Linked DNA regions of Macaca fascicularis. The protein of the gene in region 1 interacts with the protein of each later gene in a pairwise test. Links are inferred from orthologs where the notes say so. Each region holds a gene or a part of one and is shown in the gene's direction. Other genes may lie near its edges.

Evidence for each region. The genes of interacting proteins can lie anywhere in the genome.
Region 2: the proteins of DISC1 (region 1) and TNKS interact in binary tests that used the Homo sapiens proteins (3 or more experiments, as listed by UniProt). The link is inferred for Macaca fascicularis from reciprocal best matches to the Homo sapiens genes DISC1 and TNKS.
Region 3: the proteins of DISC1 (region 1) and KALRN interact in a two-hybrid assay, tested with the Homo sapiens proteins (2 studies listed by BioGRID and IntAct). The link is inferred for Macaca fascicularis from reciprocal best matches to the Homo sapiens genes DISC1 and KALRN.
Region 4: the proteins of DISC1 (region 1) and CCDC24 interact in a two-hybrid assay, tested with the Homo sapiens proteins (2 studies listed by BioGRID and IntAct). The link is inferred for Macaca fascicularis from reciprocal best matches to the Homo sapiens genes DISC1 and CCDC24.
Region 5: the proteins of DISC1 (region 1) and NEFM interact in a two-hybrid assay, tested with the Homo sapiens proteins (2 studies listed by BioGRID and IntAct). The link is inferred for Macaca fascicularis from reciprocal best matches to the Homo sapiens genes DISC1 and NEFM.
Region 6: the proteins of DISC1 (region 1) and RTRAF interact in a two-hybrid assay, tested with the Homo sapiens proteins (2 studies listed by BioGRID and IntAct). The link is inferred for Macaca fascicularis from reciprocal best matches to the Homo sapiens genes DISC1 and RTRAF.

Annotation. Positions count from the first base shown.
Region 1 is NC_088375.1:17,053,632-17,058,053, reverse strand, and holds the end of DISC1 (disrupted in schizophrenia 1 protein), read left to right. Parts: intron 1-1,327; coding exon 1,328-1,466; 3' UTR 1,467-3,794; downstream 3,795-4,422. UniProt on the Homo sapiens protein: Involved in the regulation of multiple aspects of embryonic and adult neurogenesis. Required for neural progenitor proliferation in the ventrical/subventrical zone during embryonic brain development and in the adult dentate gyrus of the hippocampus.
Region 2 is NC_088382.1:11,351,525-11,356,613, reverse strand, and holds the start of TNKS (poly [ADP-ribose] polymerase tankyrase-1), read left to right. Parts: upstream 1-1,756; 5' UTR 1,757-1,782; coding exon 1,783-2,455; intron 2,456-5,089.
Region 3 is NC_088376.1:159,202,327-159,207,410, reverse strand, and holds the start of KALRN (kalirin), read left to right. Parts: upstream 1-1,751; 5' UTR 1,752-2,128; coding exon 2,129-2,201; intron 2,202-5,084. UniProt on the Homo sapiens protein: Promotes the exchange of GDP by GTP. Activates specific Rho GTPase family members, thereby inducing various signaling mechanisms that regulate neuronal shape, growth, and plasticity, through their effects on the actin cytoskeleton.
Region 4 is NC_088375.1:190,766,706-190,771,628, reverse strand, and holds the start of CCDC24 (coiled-coil domain-containing protein 24), read left to right. Parts: upstream 1-1,590; 5' UTR 1,591-1,696; coding exon 1,697-1,822; coding exon of another isoform or gene 1,823-1,837; intron 1,838-1,972; exon of another isoform or gene 1,973-2,031; coding exon 2,032-2,246; intron 2,247-2,342; coding exon 2,343-2,459; intron 2,460-3,700; coding exon 3,701-3,778; intron 3,779-4,263; coding exon of another isoform or gene 4,264-4,279; exon of another isoform or gene 4,280-4,413; intron 4,414-4,588; coding exon 4,589-4,643; intron 4,644-4,923.
Region 5 is NC_088382.1:28,095,222-28,100,103, forward strand, and holds the start of NEFM (neurofilament medium polypeptide), read left to right. Parts: upstream 1-1,549; 5' UTR 1,550-1,582; coding exon 1,583-2,662; intron 2,663-3,394; coding exon 3,395-3,519; intron 3,520-4,882. UniProt on the Homo sapiens protein: Neurofilaments usually contain three intermediate filament proteins: NEFL, NEFM, and NEFH which are involved in the maintenance of neuronal caliber.
Region 6 is NC_088381.1:119,881,212-119,886,332, forward strand, and holds the start of RTRAF (RNA transcription, translation and transport factor protein), read left to right. Parts: upstream 1-1,788; 5' UTR 1,789-1,882; coding exon 1,883-1,943; intron 1,944-3,572; coding exon 3,573-3,697; intron 3,698-5,121. UniProt on the Homo sapiens protein: RNA-binding protein involved in modulation of mRNA transcription by Polymerase II. Component of the tRNA-splicing ligase complex and is required for tRNA ligation.

The DNA of each region.
Region 1 (4,422 bases):
TGAGCCGAGATCACACCATTGCACTCCAGCCTGGGCTACAAGTGCAAAACTCTGTCTCAAAAAAGAAAAAAGAAAAAAGAAAAAAAAAAAAGAAAAAGAAAGGGAACGCTTTCCACAGTGGTTTGTAAGGGTGTCTTTTTCTCTTGTCGTTGCATTGACGTTGCACTTTGGGAGAACCACATGGTAGTGTAGGTGGTGTATAAACAGTCAGACTCCCTCTCCCAAAGCTCTCCATTCCCTCCGTGTCTGATCTAGTACTATTGGAGTGGTCTGGCTTCATGTGATGACTTCAGCATATTTAGGTGGTGTCAGCATATTTCTACTTTCCCCCTTGGTCCCTGTTGGATGAAAATGGATCAGTTTGCTTGTTAAACCCAACTCTCACCCTGCATTTGCCTTAGAGTTGTTCTGACTACAAGTAAAAAGGGAAAGGATGAACTGGATGATGTATGGACAGAAAAACCACTGTTGGTTAAACATTCCCCTGCTTGAACACCCAGACGAGAACCCGTTTCTTAAGAGAACTACAGCCTTATCTATTACTGTTTGCTAAGTTCTCTTTGATTGTTTCCTCCATATGAGAAATAACTTTATAGGTTAGAAAACGAAGAGCCCAACAGCTTAAGAAAAAAAAAGAACCAACCAACCAAACCGGAAAAGGCAAACTCTCTGCCCTTTGATGGACTCTATCTAGTCTTGAGTGCCCTTCCTAGTCCCTGGGAATATACTAACAGGTAACAGCAGGTTAGACCTGGAGGGGTTTCAAAGTCATCATCTCAAGAGAAAACTAAGGCTTTAAACGGTTTGCATAGGGTGACAAGACTGGTTAATGGTGAACAGAGACCGTGTTAATAACTGAGTCTGGTCCAGAATGCCTCTCCCGACTTATGGTGACCCCAAATCCTGTATTTCTCGAGGAGATTTTGATTTCAAGCATTCTGCCCTTTCCACTGTCAAGAGTATTTGCATCTGACAGTTGCCCCGCCCCAACTTGGGGTTTAGCCGGAGTTATGGTCACGCCAACTGCATATCATTGAGCATCTAAGTTGGCCATCTGTCTCGGCTAAGAGCTGACTCTTCCATTTCCTTTTTAAGACCTGACTTGAGATAGTCAATACCTCAGGCATTGTAGAAATTGCAGTCATTCTTAAAAGAAAAAGTATAAAATTTATATTAATATTTAATTCATACAATTTGAAAGAACTTGAAACTGCAATTAGGTGGCAGTGCCCATCTGCTTCCAGTAGGCTCACGTGCTCTTCGATCCCTTGGAGGCTGCAGAGGGCCACCATCACCTTCGAATGTGCTCCTTAACAACGTGCCCACAGTCTCTCAAGAGGGAGCTCCAGATGGTGAAGGAAACTCTGCAGGCCATGATCCTGCAGCTCCAGCCGGCAAAGGAGGCGGGGGAAAGAGAAGCCGCAGCTTCCTGCATGACAGCTGGTGTCCGGGAAGCACAAGCCTGAGGAGAGACGGGATGGGGGAGGGAGGTGGGCCACCATGTCAACAGTTTGGACCTGGGGGGCTGCTATCCCCTCCCCCTGCATAACTAATGTGCCTGAGTTAATTATGGAGATACAGAGCCTTGAGGTCTTTCAGTGGAAAGGTGGCTCATGTTCATTCTCATGAGTCTGAGGAGTCTGCAAATTGGAATATGGAGAGAGAGACGGATTTGCTGAATTTCCTTCCAAATGTCACTCAAAAATTTCTCTTCCATGTCATTCATGGGAATGGCTTGCACAGGATTTGAGAATATTTTCATCTCAGCCCCCATTAGAGAGAAGTTGGGGTGAATTCTGGAAAAATGTCTCTTTTCCCTGTAGCATTTGTCTTCTGCTGCGACTAAAATATTTCCTGATTCAAGATTCTATAAAAAGGAAACCAAGCATAACACTCTGTCATCATACCTGTTACACATTCCTACAGGTGCACAATCTAAGAGAGCTAATTAACCTCAGAGTCTGGAATTAACAGCTTTTCACCTTACTTCTCCTGTGATCTAATATTATCTTAGAAAAATTAATACGCAACTTTCAAAAGATATTTTGGTAAGACAGCAGCCTCTCAGTGGTATGCCACCTTTCAATTTTCCTTTTGTGGCAATGATTGCACCTGAAGAAAGGATCCCTGAGAGTCTGTGTTTCATCAGGAAATTTATGAAATTTACCCACAGTGAGGCTGTGGATGGATCAGGGGAAACCTGTATAAAATGTTTGAGCCTGTTCTGTTTTCCCGTGGAACCTGTTTCACTCAATGCCAGGCAGTGCAGCATTTAGGAAAGCAGTGCAGTACTCAGTAAGGCAGTGCAGTACTCAGTAACACAATACAGTACTCAGGCAGTGCGGTACTCAGTAAGGCAGTGCAGTACTCAGTAACACAGTACAGTACTCAGTAACACAGTGCAGTACTCAGTAATACAGTACAATACTCAGTAAGGCAGTGAAGTACTCAGTAATACAATACAGTACTCAGTTAGGCAGTGCAGTACTCAGGGAGTACAGTACTCAGTAAGGCAGTGCAGTACTCAGGAATACAGTGCAGTACTCAGTAAGGCAGTGCAATACTCAGTAATACAGTGCAGTACTCAGTAACACAGTGAAGTACTCAGTAATACAGTACAGTACTCAGTAAGGCAGTGCAATACTCAGTAACGCAGTGCAGTACTCAGTAACAGTGCAGTACTCAGTAATATAGTACAGTACTCAGCAAGGCAGTACAGTACTCAGTAAGGCAGTGCAATACTCAGTAACACAGTGCAGTGCTCAGTAAGGCAGTGGAGTGCTCAGTAACACAGTGTAGTACTCAGTAGGACAGCACAGAACTCAGTGACACAGGGCAGTTAGTACTCAGTACTATAAGTATAGGCAATGTAGTACTTAGTAAATCAGTGCAGTACTCAATAATGCAAGGGCATTTCAGGCTCCTGCTGGGCTGCTTCTTTGGCCCAGCTGGGACTCCTATTGAGACAGCTGCAAAACAGGCTGATTTCAATTAGGCAGCACTTCCCAAAATGCACTGAGGAAGGTGGCCCCAAGAGATGCTCTCTAAACAAAGGAGTCCCCTCTCCGGTCAAGTGCCTTTGATAAATACACCATACCATAATATCTGCTTGGAGAACCACAACGCGCATTAGCATATTAGTCTGAGAGAGAACTTATAGTAAGTAAACTCACTTGATTTTATCTAACCTCAAACTTTCCAAGCTTAATGGATCGTGAATTTTTCTCATGTAACTCCTATTCATATCCCACAGATCTAGTATTGTACAGCACTGCATTCTCTGAGGAAGTCCAAGTCCAAACTCTGATTTACATCACTGTAGAAACCACACTCACAGTTTTGCAGAGTGTTGAGCTTAATAACTACCTGCCACAGATCGGTAAATTTAATCCAGTGGTTGTTCTGTCTGTGCTTCTGTTCTCATATATGTGATTAGGGACAGTGATGTTCCTGCCTTCACTAGGATCCATGGATATGAGGCCATTTTTGTTATTTCCTGAAGTCACACTGGCATTTCCAGAAGGCATCTGGTGCTTTGCTCAGCCTTCCATGCTGTGCCGCACTTCTGTCCTCAGTCAAGGAGATGGCCCTGCTGAAGCCAGCAATTGGCTGGGGTCCAGGAAACAAACCAAAAACACAATATGTGAATGTGCTGATTGTGTTCCCTATGGCTTCATCTTGAGCAAAATACACTCTACATATTTTAATAATAAGTATAATTAGCTTGTTCCTGGACTTCATTTTTCAATGATGAACCAAATTCCTCAATTATTTATAATTGTGTCTAAAGAAAATTATGAACTGGTCGCATGGCACTTGGAGTCCTTGAATTAATTCCAGTGAAGCAAAACTTGGGAAGAGTCAGGATTGGCCACATTGCCAATAACAAATTCCTACTTCGACATATATCTTTTTAAAAAGCCTCCCAGACATAAGACATCTTAACCGTCACTAGCCCAAGTGTTTTGTATTACACAGACACCATCATGAAATAATTCTGTGAGGTCATGATGTATTTGAAAATTCTGCAAGTTAATAACTGCCTTGAATTATTTGAACCCCAAATAAGGGTTCTTTGGTACCTCTAGTAGATAGTGTGTTCATTTCCCTGCTGCAAATTTTGAAGTATTTGGGCAGGTGAGTAATGTTTTAACCATGTGCTGTAACTCATCTGTTGTCTTGGCTTGGTCTTAGAGTGTCGTTCAGAAAGCCTGCTAAGGGCCAGAGTGCTTCTTCTGGCTACACAACCTCCTCAGGACAACCCCACTGTCTTAAGCCACTGTGTCTTGACCCTGGGAGACACACGATTTGTATCCTCAATCATACTATAGAGCAGTTTTTGTCAGGGGAACATAAAAATATCCAAGAGAAGTTAAGGCTTAGATTTAAAAGCATCAAAACAACAACAATAAAAATTTATGT
Region 2 (5,089 bases), on another chromosome or scaffold:
AGATTTAAAAACAGAAGCATGAAGAAGAATGTTGTGGACTGATGCACTGATGTGCACTGATGTGAGTTGCACTGATGTGAGTTTTCCTATCCAGCTACACTTTTTGTTAGGTGTCTACCGTGAACAATGGCACAATTTTATCAGACAGCTGGATAATGTTAAGAATTATAATCTGTAACCCCAGATTACATGAAAATAAATGCCATTCGTAATACTAATTATGTTCCTGACCTTATTGTATTTAGTTAGTAACCCCAAATAAACTCATCTATTTATTTGAATGGGAATATTAACATCACATAAATCATATTTAACAATGAACACATGAAACAATGTATCACCTGGTTTAATATTCTGCTTGACTCATCTAAATCTTGTTTCTCTTAGGTCATAGAATTTCCATCTGTGTTCACTCTATTGGAATAATGCTGTTTGTGTATAATTCTATAATGCCGGCTTTACTATTGAACAGTAGGTATGGAGTCTTCAATGGGATTATCTCATTCACGGATACATCTTTTGATGGCAGAAAAAAAAAGTATACATAGGTAGGGGAAAGACAGAAAAAGCAGTTGCTGAAAAATAGGACCTGATGGTGAGTAATGGACAGCAATCTGTAACCCAGGCTGGAGTGCAGTGGTGTGACCTCAGCTCACTGCAACCTCTGCCTCCCGGGCCCAAGTGACCCTCCCAACACAGACTCCTGAGGAGCTGGGACTACAGGCGTGTGCCACTTTGCCCAGCGAATTTGTGTATTTTTTGTAGAGATAGAGTTTCACCATGATGGCCAGGCTGGTTTCGAACTCCTGGGCTCAAGTGATCCGCGGGTCTCGGCCTCCCAAAGTGCTAGAATTACAGGCATGAGCCACCGTGACCAGCCTTGCAATCAGGTTTTTATCCGTTTGGGATGTGGGAGAGGCTAAGCTAAACTAGAATTCAAAAGAAAGGAATATATTCATAATTAGTTAAACGTAGGGTGAAAAATAAAATTTCAGAGATAAGCAGAATAGGAAAAAAATCATTATTTTAATAATTCACACCTATTGCACCATTATTTCAATTTTACAGAGAAAAACAGGCAGAGTGATGAAATGGCTCATATATACACAACAAATGGCAGAGCTGGAATGCCAATCCTAGCAATCTAAACCAGCATTTAAAAACGAGGAATTAAAGCACATAGGGTGAGAAAAATTATAGGGAAGGGACAAGAGCTCAAGGACACACCTGGAAAATACTATAATTTTAAAAATTACCAATGGGCTAATTATAGTTGTGTTTTACTGGCAGAGCGCTTTGTCTATGTTAGCTCTTTTAATCCCGCTAATAATTCTGTGAGGTTGGTACTATTAGTTCCATTTTTCAGACGAGGACGCTTAATAGATGATAATCGACACATTCTCTGCTTGCTCTGAGCTGCATCTCAACAGCTGGCTCTGGAGCAAGCAAAGGGAGACTGAGGGAAACAGAGCGGACCAGGGCAAGCCGCCTGAAAGTGAGAAATGCAAGAAATGTTTCTCATCTAGGCAGGAGCTGGTTCCAGCATTCAAATCTCTCCAGCCGGCCCGCCACCACGTCACAAACCCCGCCTCTCAGTGACAAAGCCCCGCCCCGTTCCTTTGGCTGTTCCCTAAGCTCCCAATACTTCCCTCTTTCTCTTTGGCCCCTCCTACCCCGCTAGCATCATTTCCTGTGCGCTGGATGCTGATTGGTCCGACGGTCGGAAGTGAGGGCGGGCGGTGGGGGCCGTTGCCGCAGTGACAGTGCTAGGGGAGTCCGAAGATGGCGGCGTCGCGTCGCTCTCAGCATCATCACCACCATCATCAACAACAGCTCCAGCCCGCCCCAGGGGCTTCAGCGCCGCCGCCGCCACCTCCTCCCCCACTCAGCCCTGGCCTGGCCCCGGGGACCACCCCAGCCTCTCCCACGGCCAGCGGCCTGGCCCCCTTCGCCTCCCCGCGGCACGGCCTAGCGCTGCCGGAGGGGGATGGCAGTCGGGATCCGCCCGACAGGCCCCGATCCCCGGACCCGGTTGACGGTACCAGCTGTTGCAATACCACCAGCACAATCTGTACCGTCGCCGCCGCTCCCGTGGTCCCAGCCGTTTCTACTTCATCTTCCGTTGGGGTTGCTCCCAACCCAGCCGGCAGTGGCAGTAACAATTCACCGTCGTCCTCTTCTTCCCCGACTTCTTCCTCATCTTCCTCTCCATCCTCCCCTGGATCGAGCTTGGCGGAGAGCCCCGAGGCGGCCGGAGTTAGCAGCACAGCACCACTGGGGCCTGGGGCAGCAGGACCTGGGACAGGGGTCCCAGCAGTGAGCGGGGCCCTACGGGAACTACTGGAGGCCTGTCGCAATGGGGACGTGTCCCGGGTAAAGAGGCTGGTGGACGCGGCAAACGTAAATGCAAAGGACATGGCCGGCCGGAAGTCTTCTCCCCTGCACTTCGCTGCAGGTCAGAGACTTTTGAATTGTTTATTAAGGGTTTTGGGTTTGGGTGCAGGGTCCAGTTAGGACAAGAAAGCAGGTTATTGTGATGGGACAAAGTGGGGGCGTGGTCATGGTTCTTCAACACCTCACCAGAAGACTAGAGGTGCCTTTCTTTTGATGGTGTCTGGGTGATGGGGGCGTGGTTGGGGTGGGGGGATAAATGAATCCAAGAAATTCTTCAGTGGTTGCACAGTTTAGTTTTCGGTGTGCAGGAATAAAGTTAGATTTGGACAGCTTTAGAGTAGTTTTGTCATTTGTGTGCTATTTTGTTTTTACAAAGGTATGTCCCTTGAGGAGAGTCCAGACCAAAAGAGGTTTAATACAACCCAGCAAATGTTTGAGCATCTATTGTAGCCTTAGTAACCCAATGAAAGACAGAAATGAAGTTTATGAAAGTTTCCCTTCTTTTAAAGAAGTTTACAGTCTAGATGGGGAGACCAAAATATGCCAGTGTGAAACAACTGGAGAACAATATTTGGATGCATTATATGATGATAGAAGAAATACAGGCTTTGATATTGTGGCCACTATTATTTGTTGTATAGCAGACCGTTTACCTTGTGTCAGTTGCCTCAGTTTTCTCATGGGCAAAAATCATAAAATGATGTTGTGCGAGCATTTGGTGAGACGTATCTGGCACAAAGTTCTCCCTCAAAAAGTGTGAATTTCTTAAGCTCTGGACCTCACACTTGTCTTTTTTTTTTTTTTTTGCAAATAGTTGATGATTTTCTCTCAAAGACACCTAATAATATGTTTATAAAATAAAGAAAACTGTAAAAGAAAAACAAAGGACTATAATTTCACTGCCTCGATACTTACTGTTGATATTTTAAGCATATAGGTAATAATGTTATATACATTAGAAACATTATATTAGAAATACATGTATTGTCCCAAATAGGACAGAAAAATACAAAATGAAAGGCATCACACGCTCACAAACATCAAAGATAACACACCAAAGATAACTTCTGTTAAGTTTCTCTTATATTTCTAATATATATATGTCACTTCTTCAGTTTGTTCTGTTAATAGTAAAACGTGTTGACCCACTGTAGTAGTATTTATTTTTACCACACTTGGGAGATATGATTAACCATTTTACAGATGACAAAAGTGAAGCATATATAGATCGTTTAAGTAAGTCCAGATTCACTCAGGAAATAGTAGAAATTGAGTTTGAATTCAGGTAGTTTGACTTTAGAGCTTGTGAGATCAAACTTAAACTGTCAGAACCCTGGATTAAGGTCACTTCATTTTTGTGAGTAATTGAAGTGTAGAGTTCCCGATTTTGGGGAGAAATAGTAATGGGGAGGGGCTTATATGCAAGACAGTAGCTTTCACATGTTTTTTATTGTAGCCCATACTTAGAAATACATTTTACATGGTCACATATGCAACTGAATCAAAAGCTTCTGGAAACAATACTTTCCCTTAATTTATGTGTTGTCCTCTGATAGTTTATATCTTATTCGATTTCATTTTTAGTGAATGCTGCTTGTGATCCATTAATGGGTCATGACCTGTGGTATGAGAAACACTTAAAGGAAATTATTATTAGGTCACTGGATTCATTCTTGATATACAGACACTACTTACTAGGAATGCAGTGGATTGAATCATAAACAGACTTTTGTCTATTTGTTTGCTCAAGGGTCTTGCTTGTTTTAGATGAAATAGCATTTCTTTTTCTTTAGGCTAAATGAAAGGCCCAAGTCTGATTTTATAAATCAACAGAGGTGTCTACTTTTGCATACTTTATTCCAAGTTTGACTATTTTAACAAATTGTTTCACCAATCAGGTTATTTCTCACCACCCCACTTTATGAGTAATCACCAACAAATGATAGTTATACTTATGTGTATTAATGTATTTAGGATAAGTCACACAAAATAGTGCTTGTTTCTCAAATCACATGTCTTCTATTTGCTACAATAGTTACTTGTTATTCTGTTTCGGAGTTTTACATACATCCAGATTAGCTAGAAGATAAACAATAAAACAGTACCGTAATTATGTTGTAGTTATGAGAACCTAACCTTGAATCGGCTTTTTAAGAAAAATTTTAGCTCAGTTGTGGAAAACACAATAATAAAATTCTCAATGATAGGAAAACATAATATCCTGTAGTCAGTTTGCAACACTTCCGTGATTGAATGCATAACATTAAAGTTTTATTAAACTTTAGTCTTCTTTATCATGTATAGGCTGAGAAATGAAAAGAATTATCAGTGACTGGTTATTATGATAGTAATTGAATTGTCATGGAATAGCTGTTTTAAAAATGAGAAATTGGTACAATCCCTTGAATGAAAAAATTTAAAAATTACAGTTTATTTGTTCCAGAAATATTTTAGTGTACTTAGATGATTGGATGTTAAATACTGACACAATTGTGTAATGGCAAACATTCTGTAAGCCTTAAGGAGCTTACAGTCTAGTAGGGAAGCATAAACAACAACAACAAAAACCTGCAAAGTATCTAGTGTCTAATCTGGCGTGACAGGAAACGTACATTATACTGTCTGTCCCAGTATGTAATAGGAGCTCTTATCCTTGCTTTAGAGCAGTTAAGGAAGTCCTTCTAGGTAGATTTTT
Region 3 (5,084 bases), on another chromosome or scaffold:
CTGCAAGCTCCGCCTCCCGGGTTCACGCCATTCTCCTGCCTCAGCCTCCCGAGCAGCTGGGACTACAGGCGCCCGCCACCTCGCCCGGCTAGTTTTTTTGTATTTTTTAGTAGAGACAGGGTTTCACCGGGTTAGCAAGGATGGTCTCGATCTCCTGACCTCATGATCCGCCCGTCTCGGCCTCCCAAAGTGCTGGGATTACAGGCTTGAGCCACCGCGCCTGGCCATTTAATTCGTTTTATTTGCTGCTAGGGTTACCCAGTTGGTGGATCTGCATAGGCCCCAGTTGCCTTGGCCCCCAGAGAGAGGTGGAACCAAATAGGTTACTAGAGACAAACAGTTCCAGGAGATTCTGTCTGATGGGTTGCAGTCATCAACTTCAGACAAGTACCTGGTTTTCCTATTAGGCGTGTTTTAACTCATTAGGTCAGGCCACCACTTCTCCATCTGTCTGGATGAGGCAACAGCAAACAGCGCTCAGCAGACTTTATTAAGTACTCAGGTCTTAAAGACCTTCTGTTTGGTGGGCTCTGCAGTCACTAGAACCACAAACACACTACTGGATAATTATTGTTTAATTATTACTTAAAAACTGATGGGCACAATACAATCACCACATTAATTACCCCATACAGCATCTGTTTTCTTTTTTGCAGTCATCCCCACTCCTCCCCAGCCCCTCTCCCCACTTTAATTGAAATTCAGCTTGCTGTAACACCTCCTTTCTCCTGGCCAACTGGATCTCTCCATTCACATGAGGGAGAAGAACAAAACCGAGAAGGCCCCAGGGATTAGAGAGTTTTGACAGCTGTCCAAGAGGAGCACGGAGATAGGGCCAAGTACGGAGGCAGGACAGAGACAAACGAGGGACAAGAGAGTGACGGAGGGAGGGAGAGATAGGCAGGGAAACATCACAGGAGCATTAAACTGGACAAAGAGTCACAGAGACAGGCGGAGATGTTTAAAGGGGCGCTGAAAAGGGGAAAAGGACGAGAAAAGACAAAAAGGAGAGAAATTGTGGCGAGCTGGTGAGGAAAATGTGAGAGGCTCAGGAGGGCAGGGAGACAGAAGAGAGTTCGTCAGGAAGGAGGGGAAGAAAGGCCGGCCTCTAGGGACAGGTCAGTCCAGCTTGGGGACCGATCTGAAGATCCGGAGAAGGCGGGCGGGCAGCCTGGTGTTCCCCTCACACACCTGGGAGTGGAGTGGGCGGAGGAGGTGGCCGCTGGGCCGGGTGGAGCACTGGCGTCGGGAGCGGAGAAGCAGAGCGCGCAGCGCCCGGGCCGCAGAGCCCCTGGACTAGGCTGGCTTGCGCCCTGCAGCCCCGGGCTCGCCCGGCGGCCCCGCCCCCTCCTCGGCCCGGGCTTTTCCTGCCGAGCTCAGGAAGCCGGCCTAGCACAGCCTCGAACAATAGCTCGGGACTCAGGCTTCGCTCCCTGGGAGGCCGGCGCAGGGAAGCTGGGACAGGGGGCGTCGGCGCCGCCGGGGGCCCGCAGCGAGCCCTCGGCCCGGGCTGGAGCTTCAGTTCAGCTCGGCGCTCCAGGGGTCATTGTTGGCGGCGACTGAGGGAGCGGGAGCCGGGGGAGGAGCTGGGGAGGCGGCGGCTGCGGCGGGAGCCAGAGGGGGAGCCAGAGAGCGAGCGAGCGAAGGAGGGAGGTAGCGAGTGAGCGAGTGAGCGAGGGAGGGAGGAGGTAGAGAGACAGGGAGGGTGGGAGGGAGGAGGAAAAATAAAGAGGAGAGAGCGGAGCAGGGCTGAACAATAGAGACAGGCAGACAGGCGAGCAGGAGAGCCAGCTGCCGCTGCTGGGGGACAGCGGGCACCCAGGCAGCCCGCGCCCCGGCCTCGGTTCCCGGCCCTAGCCAGACAGCAGGCGGCCAGCGCCCTGGGGAAGGGGTACCATGGGGGAGCTGGCGGCAGGCACCCCTAGCCCGCCGCGCGCCTCCGCTTGAGGGAGGCTCGGCGTTCTCTGCCCCTGCCCCACCGCCCAGCGCCCGCCCTCGAAGCCCCCCTGGCCGCCAGCTCTGCGGCCGCGGCCGCTGCGCCCCGCGCCCTCCGCCCATCGGGCGCCTAGCAGCCCTCGGCCCCAGGCTTCTCTGGCCCCCGGCTGCCCTCAGACGCCCTCCCACAGTCATGAACCCCCCTGAGGGAGCAGCGGAGGAAGGAGGAGCAGCCGACTCGGACGTGGACGCCTTTTTCCGGACAGGTAAGCTGGGCAGGGCGCGGGGGGCCGGGGCTGAAGGCTGCTGCCTCGGACGCGGCGTCTTGGACAAGTTTGGGGAAGGAGGGCTGTTGCTGCCGCGTGCGTGTTGGGGGCCAGTGCCCCCTCGGCGTCGGGGCGGGAGTTGCCGAGATTCTGGTTGTTATGGCAGTGCTGGCTGCGTTTGGGGAGGGCGTGGGGGCTGGGAACTCCGCGCCCCTCCGCCTTCATCCCAGTTGCGGGAGTCCGTGTTGGGGAGGCGGGAGGCGGTCCCCTCGGGCCGCCTTCTCCCGGAGCGCGGGGATGGGCGGTGTTGGCTCACTTTGCAGCGCGCCGCTCCGGCTACCGGCGTCCCGGCCCCTCCCTTGGCTCCCCCTCCCCCGTGCCTGTCAGCGGGGCTCCCGGCGGCAGCCCTGGGCCGGCACCCCTCCTCGCCGTCGGGGGCCCGGGGCCCTGATGTGCACAGAGGGGCGGCGGGGACCCGGAGCCGCGCCGGCTGCAGACTGACAGGAGCGGGGCGGACGACATGGGTCTCGCCTGGTGCGTGTGGGGAGCCGGCCCCTCTCACTTGAGAGGCAGACCCGGCTGGGAGGGCGGTGGGCGCCTCGGACCTCCCCCTTGTCCTCCTCTTCAGTTCTGGGAACGGAGGAGCTATTCATAAGAATTACTCATTCCTGGAAGTGTGAGTTAGCGTCCCTCTCATACACACCCACTAAGTCTCTGCTTGCTGTGAGGTGTAGAGCCCTGAGATGTCTTTCTAGATCTTTGCGCCCCTGCCACCGTCCATGTCCCGGGTCCATTGCTCCTCCTGCTCCCTGGCTACACAGTCCCTCCCGGGAACCGGCACTGACCATCCTCGTTTTCCACCACCTGTGACCCTGTTTCTCTGATGGCCAGGGATTCCCCATCTCCCTGTACCTGTGGCTTCCACTAGCTTCTGTGTGTAGCTCCCCATGTCCCCACATGTCTGAAACCATTTTGTCTGGAATCTTTGTCCCAAAGAGTCCAGTAAGTTACCGGGGTCCCATGCATCTGCTCTCCCTTTTGGAAAGTTGGATTAGAGGACATGAACTGGTGGGGGTCAGGGGTCAGGTTAGCTCTGGAGGGTCTCTGCACATCCATCTGTTTCCTAACCCTGTTACCTTGCCCTGGAGGTCATCTCTAGGGAAGGGGGTGGGGTGCTTTGTGGGGGAGACTTGTGGCTTTGGAAGTCAAGACTTGATTGGCTCATATGTTCATTCTCTAGTTGATGTGCAGAGGAAAAAGCTGGATGACAGGAGCTGCTGCCAGGGTCTGGGGAAATCAGAGGGAGCCCCTGTCATTCTATTCTGCTTCCTAGGTCTAAGCCTACCTTCCTTCTCTTCCTCCTTCCTTCCCTTCTTCCTCTTCCTGAGACATGGATTATATTTTCTCTCTCTTCTTTCTTCTCTCTCATACACAAACAGCCCAGCACCCAAAAGCATGAATTCTAAAGAGGTGGAATATAGGGACAAGGTTCTGGGGGCTAAGTGATATCCAGAAATACTCATTATGAGGACGAGGAAGGGAGATATGGGAACTCATAACTGGGGCTAGAAACAAATTGACCAGTCAATCAAAAACCCAGCTGATCCCTCTTGCCTCCCAACTGGGGCAAAAGTCTGCATTTTCTTAGCTCTAGGGGAAAAATCTTGAAGTGTGAGCCTTTCCACCTTCCCTTTCAGGACCCCACTTTTACCTTTTGGTGTCCACTCCTCTTTCCCCTTTGTATCATCCAAACACTAGGTCCTGTTCATTTTCTGTTCCAGGCACCTGTAGCAGAGCTCAGTTCCTGGAGGCTTATTTCTGACAATAAATTCACACAGTGTTAATGGTGTTAATGGCCAATAATAGTCCAATGTGTAACTTTTCCCAGGGCCTTTCAAAACACAACGTATGGCACACATTATCCAACCCTGGCTCAAATCACAAAATAAATAGCAGACTCGGGTCAGTCTCCTGTGGGACTCCTATGTTGGGGATATTCTCCCTCCTCCTTGGGCAGCCCAGTGGCTGAGCTAAGTCTGATGTGCACTTAGTATCAGAGAAAGGTTAAGTCCTTGGTGCATAAGGCTGGAAATGACTGATGACCTGTAACATGTTGCAAGAGGGGGTGGGTCAAGGACTACACCCACCATGTGTGGCCCTCTATGCTTGGCTCACTGACTCTCACCACACTTCTGGTCTCTAGCCTAGGCTCTTGCTGGGGATTCGTCTTTTTTTGTTGTTAATTTTTATTTTAGGTTCAGGGGTAGAAGTGCAGGTTATATAGGTAAACTATGTGTCACAGGGGTTTGGTATACAGATTATTTCATTACCTCAGTAATAAGCATAGTACCTGACAAGTATTTTTTCTGATTTTCTCTGTCCTCTCACCCTCCACCCTCAAGTAGGCTCCTGTGTTTGTTATTCCTCTCTTTGTGTCCATGTGTTTTCACTGTTTAGCTCCCACTTATAAGTGAGAACATGCAGTATTTGGTTTTCTGTTCCTGTGTTAGTTTGCTTAGGATAACGGCCCCCACCTCCATCCATGTTGCTGCAAAGGGCAAGATCTTATTCTTTTTTTATGGCTGCATAGTATTCCATGGTGTACATGTACCACATTTTGTTTATCTAGTCTGCCGTTAATGGGCATTTAGGTTGATTCCATGTCTTTGCTATTGTGAACAGTGCTGCAATAAACATATGCGTTGGTGGAGAGTCTTAAGCTTAGAAAAGCCATATTTCTAAACCTCCCTTCTGATTCCCCATCTCTATGGAATATAGCACTGTACCTGACAGGCTGGATAGATTATAAATGTATTCAATTGAACATCTGAGAAACCTTCAAACAAATTTTCAAAGTCCCTAGCACCAGGGTTACCCCTTTCT
Region 4 (4,923 bases), about 170 Mb from region 1:
ACCCTGTTTTTAAGGTTTCTCTGGGGTCCCCGTGGCCAAAAGGGGGTCCATTTAGTTGATTGGGGGGTGTAGGATTTTATTTGTAGTTTACAGTTGTTAGCCCTGATACAGACCATTTCCATCCTATCTAGGTTTACCAAGATTCAAAACACGAAGCTGACCATGAAGCGGGACGGCATTGGGTCAGTGCGGTACCAGGTCTTGGAGGTGTCTCGGCAACCACTCTTCACCAATATCACAGTGGACATTGGGCGGCCCCCGTCGTGGCCCCCTCGGGGCTGACACTAATGGACAGAGGCTCTCGGTGCCGAGGATTGCCTGCCAGAGGACTGACCACAGCCTGGCTGGCAGCTGCTCTGTGGAGGACCTCCAGGACTGAGACTGTGGGCTTTGTTTTCCGAGGGTCTTCAATAGGCCCCCTAGCTATACCTGGAAGTTTCAGAACCCACTTTGGGGGCCTCCTGCCTGGGCAGGCTCTTCACAAGTGTGGCCCTCTTTGGAGTCAACCCTCCTTCCTGACCCCCTCCCCCTAGCCCAGCCCCAGTCACTGTCAGGGTCGGGCCAGCCCCTGCACTGCCTCGCGGAGTGGCCTGGGCTAGGTCACTCCACCTCTCTGTGCCTCAGTTTCCCCCCTTGAGTCCCCTAGGGCCTGGAAGGGTGGGAGGTATGTCTAGGGGGCAGTGTCTCTTCCAGGGGGAAATTCTCAGCTCTTGGGAACCCCCTTGCTCCCAGGGGAGGGGAAACCTTTTTCATTCAACATTGTAGGGGGCAAGCTTTGGTGCGCCCCCTGCTGAGGAGCTGCCCCAGGAGGGGACCAGAGGGGATGCTGTGTCGCTGCCTGGGATCTTGGGGTTGGCCTTTGCATGGGAGGCAGGTGGGGCTTGGATCAGTAAGTCTGGTGCCCGCCTCCCTGTCTGAGAGAGGAGGCAGGAGCCCCAGGGCCGGCTCGTGTTTGTACATTGCACAGAAACTTGTGTGGGTGCTTTAGTAAAAAACGTGAATGGAGCAGCTCCCTTGTCTGGGGGTGGGGGTCGGGTCCCTGAACATGGTTACCCTGAGTGTGTTGTGGTGGAAGGGCACTTGGCCCAACAAGTAAACCTGATCCGGGCCATGCTGGTTCTCGGAACGCTGTCACTCCCTAGGCTTCTATTGGCCTTAAGGGGAAGTTTGTCCTTGCACTGCTTCCGGGCCAGTGGAGGCGACGAAGTAATAAACCCGTGGACCCAGATTTCTCAGGTCTTAACACGTTCCCTGAGGCCTAAAGGTGCCCAGGGCCGAGCCCAAAGTGCCTGGGGTCAGGGCTCGGTGGAGCACTAAGTCTGAACTCCCAGCCTGCAGGCGCCGCCGCCGGACCACACACGGGAGGGGGCGGGGCCTAGAGTCGCGGCGCGGTTTCCCGGGTGATGGCCACGCGGAAGAGGTGGGGCTAGGGCGCTGGTTCCCACTGCCTGGCTTCTGGGCCCGCGGCATACGAGTTGACCAAAAGCCTGGCAGAAGAGCGCGCCAAGGAATGGCGGTTCTGGACGGGGCAATCCCAGCTGAGGGGACCGGCGGCAGAGCATGGGTGGGGCTTGGAAGAGGGCGGTCCTCATAGAGGGGCGGGGCTTGGTGAGCGTTGCCGGCGGGCCCGCGGTACCTCCCGCGCTCTGACCTGCGGCTTGTAGGTCCGAGCTGGGGACGGCGGCGCGGGTGGGTCATGCTTCGTCACTCCCCCTCGCTGTGGGAGCTGGTGGAGGAGCACATTCCGCTCCGGGAGCGACCCGAAGTGAAGAGGATTCTGGGGGAGGCGGCGGTGGACCTGAGCCTGGAGCTGCGGGCGGAGGTGGGGAGAGGGAAGGTGGGCCACGCCCCTGGGTGTGATTTCCCACCTCCTGCGGGTCCCTGGCCCTGCCGGGGAACTCCCGAGATCCTATTGGGTCTCACTGTCCTGGCCCTCTCCCCTTTGACTCTGTCCTCTCCCTCACTCCCCCAGCCCCCACCATTCCGGTCACTCCCCTCCCCAGTCGCAAGGTATCCCAGCTCTCCTTGCAGGTGGCGATGTTACGGGCACTGCTCCAAGAGGCTCGATCCTCTCAAGCCCCCAGCTCCCGCCCCATCTCTGACCCCTCTTCTCTTCTGGCACCACCGCCTCTCCTAAAGGACCTCTTGCGCCAGGAACTCCGGCAGTTGCTCCAGGGTCTCCACCACAAAGCCATCTGTGAGGGCAGGTGGGAGCCTCAGGCCTGGGTCCTTTCCCCAGATACCAGGTGGGCTAGCCCTGCCCCTAACAAAGAGCCAGGGTTGCCTTTTCTGTGGTTTCCAGAAAGGAGCCTCTCATCTTCCTTCCTGTGCACCTTCTGCAGGGACCAGGCCCAAGCTTGGGTCCAGTATAGCCCCAGGGTCCTGCACTTTGCCTTGGAGGAGCCCAGGTGTGATTTGCCAGAACAGGAGATATTCCAGATGAGAGGTGGTAGGCCCAGGTAAGGTGATGGTAGGAGAAAGGGATCTGTCCCTGCTTGGCAGAGGGCCCTAGCCAACTGGTGGGTTGCACCTGGCTCCATGCAGGAGGTTCCAGTCACGGGCTGGGCACTTCCACCACCACTTGTGGTAGAGATCAGCACATGAGGGCTGCCGAAACCCAGAGGAAACACCTGCCTAGCCTGGGGACAGGCAAAGCTTCCTGGAGAAAGTGGTTTGATCTGCGTGTTGTCGTATGAGGAGCAGTTTTCAGGGAGATGAAAGAGAGAAGAGCTTTGTAGGAAAAGGGAAGAAAGTCCAGCAGGCGATTGCTCCTCTGGCCTAGAGAACAGGAGTGAGGGCTGGGTTAGGGAGGCAGGGAGAGCTAAAGAGGATGGCTACAAATGGTATTTACAGCTGGGACTGAATGAGATAAAACATTCATAAGTGAATGGCAGCAACTTCTTTTTCTAATCCTCACACAGCCTGAGGTGGGCAAAGTCTGCACTTTGCACAAGAAGAAATTAAAGGCCGGGCATAGTGGCTCATGCCTGTAATCCCAGCACTTTAGGAGGCTGAGGCAGGAGGATGGCTTGAGGCCAGGAGTTTGAGATCAGCCTGGGCAACACAGGGAGACCCCATCTTTACAAAAAGTGAAAAAAAAAATTAGGCGTGGTGGCACATGCCTGGATTCCCAGCTACTTGGGAGGCTGAGGTGGGATAATGGCTTGAGCTCAGGAATTTGGGGCTTCAGTGAGCTATGATTGCACCTGTGCACTCCAACCTGGGTGACAAAGACCCTGTCTCTAAAAAAAAAAAAAAAAGAAGAAGCCTGGGCAACATAGTGAGACCCCGTTTGTGCAAAAAATTGAACAGGTGTGGTGGTGCACACCTATAGTCCCAGCTACTCAGGAGGCTGATGTGGGAAGAGCACTTGAGCCTGGGATGTCAAGGCTTCAGTGAGCCAAGATGGTGCTACTGCACTCCAGCCTGAGCAACAGAGCACAATCTTGTCTCAAAAAAACAAAAAAACAAAAAGAAAAGAAACTAAAGCTCAGAAGGGATAAGTGCTTTGTCTGAAGTCACACACAATGAAGGGTGGCAGAGCTCATTTGCAAAACTAGGCTCCCAAACTCTTACTCTTTGCACTATATTATATTGTTTTTGTGAGAAAAGAAAGACAGTTGTCTAGGAGAAGTGATGTTTGGGTCCTGAAGGCCTGGGGTGAGCAACATGGGGAGAGTAATAGTGACTTCATTGCCAGCAGTGGTCACAGAGATCTCAGCATCATCAAGGACCAACTGAACGTGTCCAACATTGACCAGGTGGCCAGACATCTGAGGTGAGGCCCAGGGGCACCTGCATGTGTGTAGGCAGGGGTGGAGACAGGGATGGATCTTGGCATGCTGGGATTGTGAGAGAGGAGGAAGGTAACATACTGGGTGGGGAGACCCATGTGTGTCAGGCTGAGAGATGGAAAGAGCTGGCTGCTGTAGAGCTAGTGAGGTTGCTTTCAGGAAGCAGCCAAGTACAGATGCCATGGCCGAGCCTGCCTATAATCTCAGCAATTTGGGAGGCTGAGGCAAGAGGATCATTTGGGCCCAGGAGTTCGAAACCAGCTTGGGCAACATGGCAAAACCCCATCTCTATCAAAACATACAAAAATTAGCTGGGCATGGTGGTGCATGCCTGTACCAGCTACTTGGGAGGCTGAGGTGAGAGGGGATTGATTGAGCCCTGGAAGGCAAGGCTACAGTGAGTCATGATGGGTGGCAGAGCAAGACCCTGTTTTAAAAATAAATATAAATATCTTGACTCTGGGGGTAGCCACAGAGGATTTTAAGCAGAGGAAGGGCTGTGATGTGAGGGAAGATGGAGGCAAGTAGAATCACAGCGCAGAAGTGCGGGAGAGAGAAGGATGCCTGCCAGGGTGAGGTAGGTGAGGGGAAGACACTTCCTGCCCAGAAGGAGCCTTGTGGGGGCCAGAAGTCTATGCTGGGGCAGCCCACCAAGAAGCAGAGGGCAGTGTGGGCTGAGGAAGGACAGGTTGGGTGGGGCTTCTGCTGAGGCTGGAGGTTGCGGCCATGTGGTGGACTCAGCTGAGCCCTGGTCCTATGTCTCGGGTTCTGGCTGCTGCTCCCTCATGTCCCAGGGGCCTTCTGGAGGAGGAGTGTCACACCTTGGAGAGGGAGATCCCCATCCTGCAGGTGAGCCACAGCCCTGCGCTCTCCCCCAAGCCTCACTGCTGAGCATAGACACTCATGCTTCTCACCTGGGTGAGGCCCATGTACCTGTGTGCATGCATAGGTGCGTGTACAGGCTGTGTGAGTCCCGCATCCGTTCCTCAGGGATACATGCTTGTGTGCACCTGCAAAATCCTAGAGGCCCAGGATTCTAATTGAGCCCTTAAGGCCAGGGCCAACGGTTTTAGGTCTTTTGCCTCCTTCCTTTACCTGGGTCTGGGTACAGGCCCCACCATTATCTTGC
Region 5 (4,882 bases), on another chromosome or scaffold:
TAAATCATTAAAATCTAAAAGGAAAAATATATTACATTTTAAATGGAGGGAAAACATCTGGTTTTATTCAAGGTTGTGGTGAATCTGTTTGGCAACTTTTAAATCAATTTAAAGTTAATTCAGATGCCTTTTCAATCACTGCAGTTACACATAGGGGATACTGAACCGAAAGATGACAAGGCAGTTGTTTGTGTCCAAACTTATCAAAAACTATATTTCCCTGGACTTTTCATCCCAACAGATTTCAAATTCTCCTTTCCAAGGAGTATTTGACCTTCACATTTCAGGCCCTGTATCTCTTCATCTCCTATACAATCATACGTTAGAAAACTCAAACTGGGCTGCAAGTACATATTTCTGTTAACTGACTTCAATGAATTTTGGTTGTTTTCAAAATCTGCAATCTGTTCATTGTGCCAGCCCTGCATTGCAGAGAAGTCTTAGCCTGCGATTCCAGCTTCGCTCCTGCAAAGAGAGTCACTACAGGCAGGTTTAAATTGTATTTGCTCGGAGAGAAGAGGGGGAAGGGAACCCCCTACCCCCCGCCAACCTGACAGGCCAGGCTGGGTGACAAGCCCCTGGGAGGCTGCACCTCCCGCTCGCCCGACCTGGGCGCTGTCCTTGGTGCTGCCGGCGCCATAGCGAGCACAAGCGCCTTACCTTCTGCCCCTGCGGAAGCTGCGGACGTCCCCCAAACGTTAAAAACGCAATATCCCACTTTTTATACAAAAAACTACCCTGGCCTGTTCTCTTTGTCCCCTTCCCGAAGCCTTCAGGCAGACGGTTCCTCAAAGTATTTTTTTTCTTTTCTTTTTGTCTTCTAGACCCAGCTCCTTGGCGCTCATCTCCAGCTGCTTTAAGACAGGAGTGGGGGAAGGGGAGGGAGGCAAGAAAAGATGAGGGTGGGGGAGGGGAGAAGAGGGAATGCAGGGGGAGGGGAAGCAAGAGACGGAGAGAAGGAAAGATTGGAAGAAAAGGGTCCGCGAGGAAGGGGCTGAGAGAAAGGCAGGGTGAAGCGAACTAAAGGCCGGAGCAGGAAGGAGAAGAGGGGCCAAAAAAGAAGGGGATGGGATTAAGCACAGAAGATGGGTAAAGAAAAAAGTATCGGGGAAAGGGTAAAAGAAGAGAAAGGCTTGAGGGTAAGAGGGTAGAGGGCTAAAGAACAAGGAGACCAGGGGGTCGGGGAAGCGCTGCCCGAACGGTGGGACAGTGACAGGCAAAGAAAGGGCGCTGGCGATATTTGTACCAAGGGTGCGAAACGCAATCGGGAAGTGAGAAATGGAGAGAAGGCGACTGCCCGGCGACAAGTGGCCTGGGACTGAAAGGGAACCTGGGGGAGGGGCTGGGCCCAGGGCAGCAAAGTCCGGGTTCCCATGCGGCCTGGGCCCACGTGGAGCGGGCGCTGAATCACCGCTCAGCCGCCCCCCTCCCCTCCTCCCCGACCGGTGCCCGCAGTCCCCGCCTCCTCGGCCGCCGCCTCCACGGGGCGGGGCCCTGGCCCGGGACCAGCGCCGCGGCTATAAATGGGCTGCGGCGAGGCCGGCAGAACGCTGTGACAGCCACACGCCCCAAGGCCTCCAAGATGAGCTACACATTGGACTCGCTGGGCAACCCGTCCGCCTACCGGCGGGTAACCGAGACCCGCTCCAGCTTCAGCCGCGTCAGCGGCTCCCCGTCCAGCGGCTTCCGCTCGCAGTCGTGGTCCCGCGGCTCGCCCAGCACCGTGTCTTCCTCCTACAAGCGCAGCATGCTCGCCCCGCGCCTCGCCTACAGCTCGGCCATGCTCAGCTCCGCCGAGAGCAGCCTTGACTTCAGCCAGTCCTCGTCCCTGCTCAACGGCGGCTCCGGACCCGGTGGCGACTACAAGCTGTCCCGCTCCAACGAGAAGGAGCAGCTGCAGGGGCTGAACGACCGCTTCGCCGGCTACATAGAGAAGGTGCACTACCTGGAGCAGCAGAATAAGGAGATTGAGGCGGAGATCCAGGCGCTGCGGCAGAAGCAGGCCTCGCACGCCCAGCTGGGCGACGCGTACGACCAGGAGATCCGCGAGCTGCGCGCTACGCTGGAGATGGTGAACCACGAGAAGGCTCAGGTGCAGCTGGACTCGGACCACCTGGAGGAAGACATCCACCGGCTCAAGGAGCGCTTCGAGGAGGAGGCGCGGCTGCGCGACGACACTGAGGCGGCCATCCGCGCGCTGCGCAAAGACATCGAGGAGGCGTCGCTGGTCAAGGTGGAGCTGGACAAGAAGGTGCAGTCGCTGCAGGATGAGGTGGCCTTCCTGCGGAGCAACCACGAGGAGGAGGTGGCCGACCTTCTGGCCCAGATCCAGGCATCACACATCACGGTGGAGCGCAAAGACTACCTGAAGACAGACATCTCTACGGCGCTGAAGGAAATCCGCTCCCAGCTCGAATGCCACTCCGACCAGAATATGCACCAGGCCGAAGAGTGGTTCAAATGCCGCTACGCCAAGCTCACCGAGGCGGCAGAGCAGAACAAGGAGGCCATCCGCTCCGCCAAGGAAGAGATCGCCGAGTACCGGCGCCAGTTGCAGTCCAAGAGCATCGAGCTAGAGTCGGTGCGCGGCACCAAGGAGTCCCTGGAGCGGCAGCTCAGCGACATCGAGGAGCGCCACAACCACGACCTCAGCAGCTACCAGGTAGGAACCGCGGCTGCGCGGCCAGCCTGCGCCAGCGCCAGCGCCGCGCGCCCCCGACACTTGGGCGCGTGCCCAGGAGCCCTCTCCGCCGCGCTCTCTGGCGGCCGCTCGCTAGAGCGCGCGCGCCGCAGACTTAGGGTAGTTTCGGATCAGCATTCTCGCCACTCTCATTCTCCATACTCCGCCCCCACCCACCTGCCCCAGCTGCTTAAAGGTCTTGACCTTTTTCAAAAACGTACTTCTTTTCCAGTTCTAATTTTGCACGCTTGCACGTTTAAAGCAGGAGGGATAAATTCGGTAGTGGATAAATCAGCAACTTTAGGATAGCTTATGCAGAAACCCGTGTATTCTCTACTTTTCCGGCAGTGATCGGAAGAGCTCTAAAAATTGGCTTCAGCCCAAAGGGCTCAGATGGGAATGGCCAGGTCAGCCATGGAGTTTCCCCATGCATGTTTGTGTCCTGTTGAGACGTGTTCTAAGTCCACTGATCTCCGTGCGTGATGTGCCCAGGAAGTGTCCTATTGTCTTACTGATCTTGTATGTTCCTTGAGAATCCCTTAGATTTAAAAGAAAAAAGGGGTGGGGGAGGGGGGCTGGGAGTCGGGTGTCAGCGAGGTTTGCAGAAGCGGATAGAGATGGGAGGAGGCGAGAGGGAAGGGGTAGCAAGTGGTTTGCGAAGGAAGTTGCTGTTTGCAAGGATGAGTCTAGGGAGACTCTCTGTGTCTGTTTCAGGACACCATCCAGCAGCTGGAAAATGAGCTTCGGGGCACAAAGTGGGAAATGGCTCGTCATTTGCGCGAATACCAGGACCTCCTCAACGTCAAGATGGCTCTGGATATAGAAATCGCTGCGTACAGGTACGGTGCTCACTACATGCGTATCCGGAACACTAACCACCATGCAGAGGCTGTTCGGGCAGAGCTTTCACCACTAAAGTTAAAGCAGGCAGGGTGCAGGCATCAACTCAGCGCCTGGTTTTCTTGCTTACTTAGAAAAAAATTATTCTAAAGAATTGCAAGTGTAGTTTTCTCTCTTTTTATGCAGCTTTAAAAGAATAAATACTAGTAGAAGCAAAAGATTTTTGAATTAGACGAAGGAGGTGCAGATTAATCTCAATGCATATGCTTAAACTTTTTATGAAAAAATGTTTTCAAATGTTGGAAGCATGAACAGAGTTTTGGTTTCTAATATTTCATCTAGTGGTTTCAGCTTTTCAAATTTATAATGTCAAGGACAAACACCAGGACATTCTATTTCTCTGTTTCTCTGTTATACAGCTTACTATTGCCATCATCTGGCTGAGAATAGATATAGAATGATATATTAGAATATAGATACAGTTATTTTATATATGTAGATAATTTATATGTATTATATTTTATGCTAGACTATAGTATAAATTATATCTATATCATGTATAATATTAATCTAGATCTATAGATACATATATGTGCATATGCATATAAATCTAGATATATAGACACAAATGTGTATGATCTTTTTATAGATAGAGAGATACGTTATAGGTCTATTAACTGATGTGACCTTGCTGTTGACTAAGCGCAAAGGACAAAATCGTTGATTAAAAATTTTCTACTACCAATAAAGTAGTTATAATATAACAAGAATAAATTGCATTTACAGAGCTATCTCTCTTTTCAGGAAAGCTGAATAACTACATTAAATAGACAATTTATGGTAAAAATTATCGACCAATTTATAACTTGATACACCCATATTAACACCTGGCTAAGTTCTGAAATATGCTTAACAGCAAGATTTTTATGAAAGTTATATTTGCTTTAAAAATAGTACGTATCCTGAAAATCTAAATGTTTAAGAAAGTGACTACTCTCAGAAAGGTTATTTGGCTTTAGAGTTTGGGGGCTTTTGTTTGTGGCTTTTTGTGTTTTTGTTTTCGTTTTTGTTTTTTCCTATTTGGCCACTAACAAGTTTTTCAGCATATTCTTGTTGGACCTAATGGATCTCTACTGCAGGGCCAAGACTTAGTAGCTGGGTGTGGTTAGTGGACTATTGGGCAAGGTTAGTCATTGTAGGGGGCAGTCCAGGAGAACCTTTCTCTGTCACTGAGTATGACGTAATATGCAAGTAAGTGATAGCAGGTATTATAACAAATTGATAGAATATTTTACTTATGTAATTCTATTTCTTCAAAGGTAGCTACTACAATACCCAGAATGTAATGAAACTCAGAAGGCC
Region 6 (5,121 bases), on another chromosome or scaffold:
ACAGTGCCCCCTTAAAACTAAAGCTGTATTCTGGCCTCTGTACTTCTTTTTATTACTATTATTTTTGAGATGGGGTCTTGCATGTTGCCCAGGTTGGCATGATCATGGCTCACTGCTGCCTCAACCTTGCAGGCTCAAGTGATCCTCCCACCTCAGCCTCCCGAGTAGCCGGGTCCACAGCATGCACTAGCATGCCCAGCTAATTTTTCCTTTTTTATTTATTTATTTCTTTTTTTTTTTTAAGTTTTAGTTTTAGTAGAGACAAAGTCTCACTATGTTGCCTAGGCTGGTCTCAAACTCCTGGGCTTGAACTATCCTCCCACCTCAGCCTCCCAAAGTGCTGGGACTACAGGCATGAGCCTCTGCACCCGGCCTGCACTTCTTTGTAGTACATTTTATACTTCTTGTAATTCACTTACCCTTTCTAACTCTAGATTATAAGTATTTATTTACACATCTATGTTTGTCATTATACTTAAATTTCCTGAAAAGAGAGACTGTAGTTTACTCATTTGTATACTCCACAGATCCTAAGTGTTTAATTAAAATCTGTTGAAATGAAATGAAACATACATAGTTGGCTTACCCTCAAGAATTTCAATAGCTTCCCTTAGCTTGCCATGAGAGGCTTGTCCTAATCAGACCCCTGCCTTTGTCTATAGTCTTATCAGCTGTCATTCCCTCTCACCCTCAGCCGCTACAAGCTCTAGTCCCTCTGGGCCATGCTGTTGCTCATTTCCTGCTTTATACAGCCTCTTCCCTCAAACTAGGTTACCCTTTTGACTGCACGGTGAATGCCTCACCATCCTCAAGCCTTAGTTTATACTTATCTATTTATTGTTTCCCTCATTAGCCTTTTAAACTCCATGAAAGTAGGGGCCTGGTCTGTCTTGTTCACTGCTCTCTCCACTGTCTGAAAAGCAAGTAGAGACTGCATCAGGAAAGATCTTAAATACAATATAGAGTTTTGATTATTTCTAGGAGGTAACCAGGAATCACTGAAACATAAGCAGAGAAAGTTATGGCCAGTTTTTTGCTTTAGAAAAATCTCTCTCATTGCTGTGTGGGGGAATGGTGTGGAGAAAGCAGGACTGGCCCTAAGAAATCAGTCAGATAATTAGAGTAAGCAAAAGTGATGAGGGTCTGATTTGTGGCTGTATCAGTGGGGTCCAGAAGGAGGTGAGGGATTTGAGAGTTAGGAGAGAATGGCAGGAATTGGTGACCTACTGGATGCTGTGACCGAGGGTGAAGGGGAGTGAGGGACGGGAGTGAGGGACGGGAGTGAGGGACGATCTCGGCTTCAGATTTCACTCTGGCTGAGGATATCTGGAACGATCGCATCGTATTAACAGTTGTATGTGTACCTGTGGATCACTCCCAACTAGTCTGAAAGCATCTTACTACAGGGACTTTGCTTTGTCGTCTTTGTATTAGAAGAGCACCTATTATGTAGGAGGAGTAATAAATGAACGAATAAATGAATGAATGCACTCAAAACACTAAACAGTAATTCTGTAATCCAACGGGAGGTACAGCGAATACTAAAAGCCTACATATACTATTCTCTGCATGTCATAGCAAGAAAGAAAGGAAAGTAGCTTCCCAGTGGTTTTCTGCCTAGTGTACAACCAGGAAGCTGACAATAAAGTTTATTTGAGCGACGTCGTGCGCCGACGTGGCCCCGCCTCCCCAGTCGGAGCCTCGATTGGTGGGCATTTGCCGGCGGCCACCGCTTAAGCTACGATTGGCGGAGGCCGCCGTCATTTCGGAGCGTCCAAGCGCCAACCCGCCCTCTCGCCGCGTCGCCGGTGCCTGCGCCGCCCGCTCCACCTCGCTTCTCTCCCGGCCGAGGCCCGGGGGACCAGAGCGAGAAGCGGGGACCATGTTCCGACGCAAGTTGACGGCTCTCGACTACCACAACCCCGCCGGCTTCAACTGCAAAGGTGAGGCGACGGCCTTGGGCCGGCCGGGTGTCCCTGACCTGGGCGGCGGTCCCAGCCTCAGTGCCCCCACCCCACCTCCCCGTCCGGACCCTCGGCGGCCTGGTTTCCGCCGCCGGCCTTCGGGCCCCTCTCCTCTGGGTCGCCACGCACCTCGGCTCTTCGCCGCCCCTTCCCGGCTTCAAAGTCCTCTCACCTACTCCTGTCTCAGCATGTTACTTTCTGCACTTGCTTAACTCCAAACACCATGTAACTAGCTTCTCAGCACATAAAAGGAAGAGCATTCGTCTTTCTCACTCACTATTCAACTCCACGGTTCCCTGGGTAATTAGGCGATACCTTGAGCACCTGCTAATTATGGGCCAGCGCGGTGCTGGATGCTGAGGAAGGTGCTAACTTGAAGACTAGCTCACTGCCTGCCAGGAGCTAAAGGGTCGAGGGGTGCGAGGGGTGGAAGCAGTCAGAACTCACTGAGCGGTTTGAGACAGTACACAATGAAGTCAGGACCGATCACAGTGGGAGGGTAAGCGCGTGTAGTAACGGGCTAGTTGTGTTGTGTGGTCTTGCAAAAAAAAGTTAATAGCAGATGAATGGGAAGGTTGAATTGTAAATACAAAGGTATTTGGGATTTTACAGCATTAGAATTTTAAAAAGTAATAACGTTGCTACTCACTGTAACAAAACTACTGCCCACTACTACTCATTTCCTTTGTATAGTTCTGGCCTGTGATAGACTGGTAAGTTTGAAAGTGATCAAGTATAACTTGTGATACTCAGACCATTGTATAATTCTCAAGACCTTATAATGGAAGCTTGAATTTGACTCACAAATTGAAAATAATATCTAAGCAGGATGTCAGTGTTTTGTTGATCTCTTGTAGAAGCATATCAAATTATAATCTGTTGTTTTTCTGCTTTAACAAAGTAACGATGAAAATAGAGCCTTGTTCTGAATTGGAATCTTTGAGTCTCAGTGTTCTTTTCTGTAAAACGGGATATTACCTACCTCAAAAGAGGTATGGGGAGGATTAAACAAAACAATGTATGCATTTAATGTGCAGTTAACATTACATGACAACAGTAGTCACAGTTTTTTGTCATTTAATTTCTTTTACTTTTGTTATTTATTTTACTTTATTACTTTGCTATAAATTTAACCTTGCCCTGTCTCCCCTTTCTGTCTGCAAAGGAACTGGAATATTAATATTTAACACTTAAATAGCAAAACTATGTGCCAGGCACTGTTTTTATCCGTATTTATTTTATTTAAGAAACTTCTTAAATAAAACAACTTCTTTTAATCTTCATAATTCTATAGGTAAGTTCTGTTAGCAGCCTCATTTTGTAGCTGAAGAATCTGAGGCACAGAAAATGTGGGTGATTATCCCAAGTTCACACAACCAGTAAGTATCTGGACCCAGAATTTGAATTCAGGCCAGGATTTGAACAGATCATTGTTAATCTGTACTTTCAACTCCAGAGTCTGTACTTTCAACTCCCTCTTTTGGTTTAATTAATTTAGTATTTTGAAGTTAAGAAAATTCCACAAGAACATATATCTGAACATATACCTGAGAAGGAGGTATTTTATATAGTGCTTCTAGTTATTTTATGTGATGTTTTTTATTGCAGATGAAACAGAATTTAGAAACTTCATTGTTTGGCTTGAAGACCAGAAAATCAGACACTACAAGATTGAAGACAGAGGTAATTTAAGAAACATTCACAGCAGTGACTGGCCCAAGTTCTTTGAAAAGGTAATGAATTAGGAAGTAAAGTAAAAGTACAGAGACCTTGTCTGAAAATCATGTGAAGATGAGTGTAAAATTACTTTCTTCTTTTAAGATAAAAGTGATAATGATCAGTGTTAGGAAAGCTGGATGTCAGGGATTTCGCTTTTTTGTTAGATGCATCTTTTGCTTTTAGAGCAAATCATTTTATGTCTTGCTACCAGGCTTTCATTATTAGATAGAAATAGTTTTCTCTAGAAACATGAAGTTTCTTAAATAAATAATGATGTAAATATTTCACTTTCCCTTTATGGCCCAAATCAGAATTTTTGTCAAACTGAAAACGTAGCAATAATACAGTGCTATTTCTTATATTAAAAGAAGACATTGGCCAGGTGTGGTGGCTAACACCTATAATTCCAGCACTTTGGGAGGCTGAGGTGGCAGATCATTGGAGCCCAGACACCAGCCTGGGCAACCTGACGAAACCCTGTCTCTACAGGAAAATAGAAAGTTAACTGGGTGTGCTGGCACACATTTTGTAATGTTAGATAATCGGGAGGCCGAGGCGCTCCACCACTGTGCTCCAGCCTGGGTGACAGAGTGACACCTTGTCTCAAAAAAAGATATCATTGACATGCTTGAAAACTAAGACTGTCATGTTTATGCTTATATTTAATGTAAACAGATATCCCTTGTTGTATACTAGAGAAATAGTCCTTAAAAGATCTCTGGTATATCATATTTTTGTTCCTAAATCATTTTCCCATTGATTTCGTTTTAGTAACACTTTTGCATAAAAAAGAATTCTCAGAATAAAAATCCGTTTACAGTGTCATTACTTACATTAAACATTTTTATCAGTTATATTTGATGAGTGAGATATTTTTCTTGAAAAAGGCTGTTTTTCATTTGTTAGAGCAGTGTGATTAGGTACTTTGTTCGTGGAATCAGTGATTTTATAAATTAGGGATTGTATAAATTACATCAGTGTTGTTAACCTTTCCGTGTCTCAATTTTCTCACCAATAAGTGAGGGTAACAATGGTACCTCCCTCACAAATGTGGCTTTGTTTTTAATGAGTAACTGTTCACAGAAGTCCCTGGCGCATAGCAAGTGTCATAAGCTTATTACTACCAAGCCTCTATACTGCTACTATTAATACTACTGTATTCCTTTGCTCTTAGGAAATATTTTTAAAATTTTCAGTAAACTTCTTAAAACTTCGAAATATATTTTTAGGATTTTATGTTTGTTTATATTACATTTTATGGTCTATTCATGTGTACAAGACAATACAGAATTCTACATGTAGAAAGGTATTTAGAGAATATAAAAAATTTTCCAGGCTGGGCATGGTGGCTCATGTCTATAATCCCAGCAGTTTGGGAAGCCAAGACGGGTGGATCACCTGAGGTCAGAAGTTCGAGACCAGCCTGGCCAACATGGCG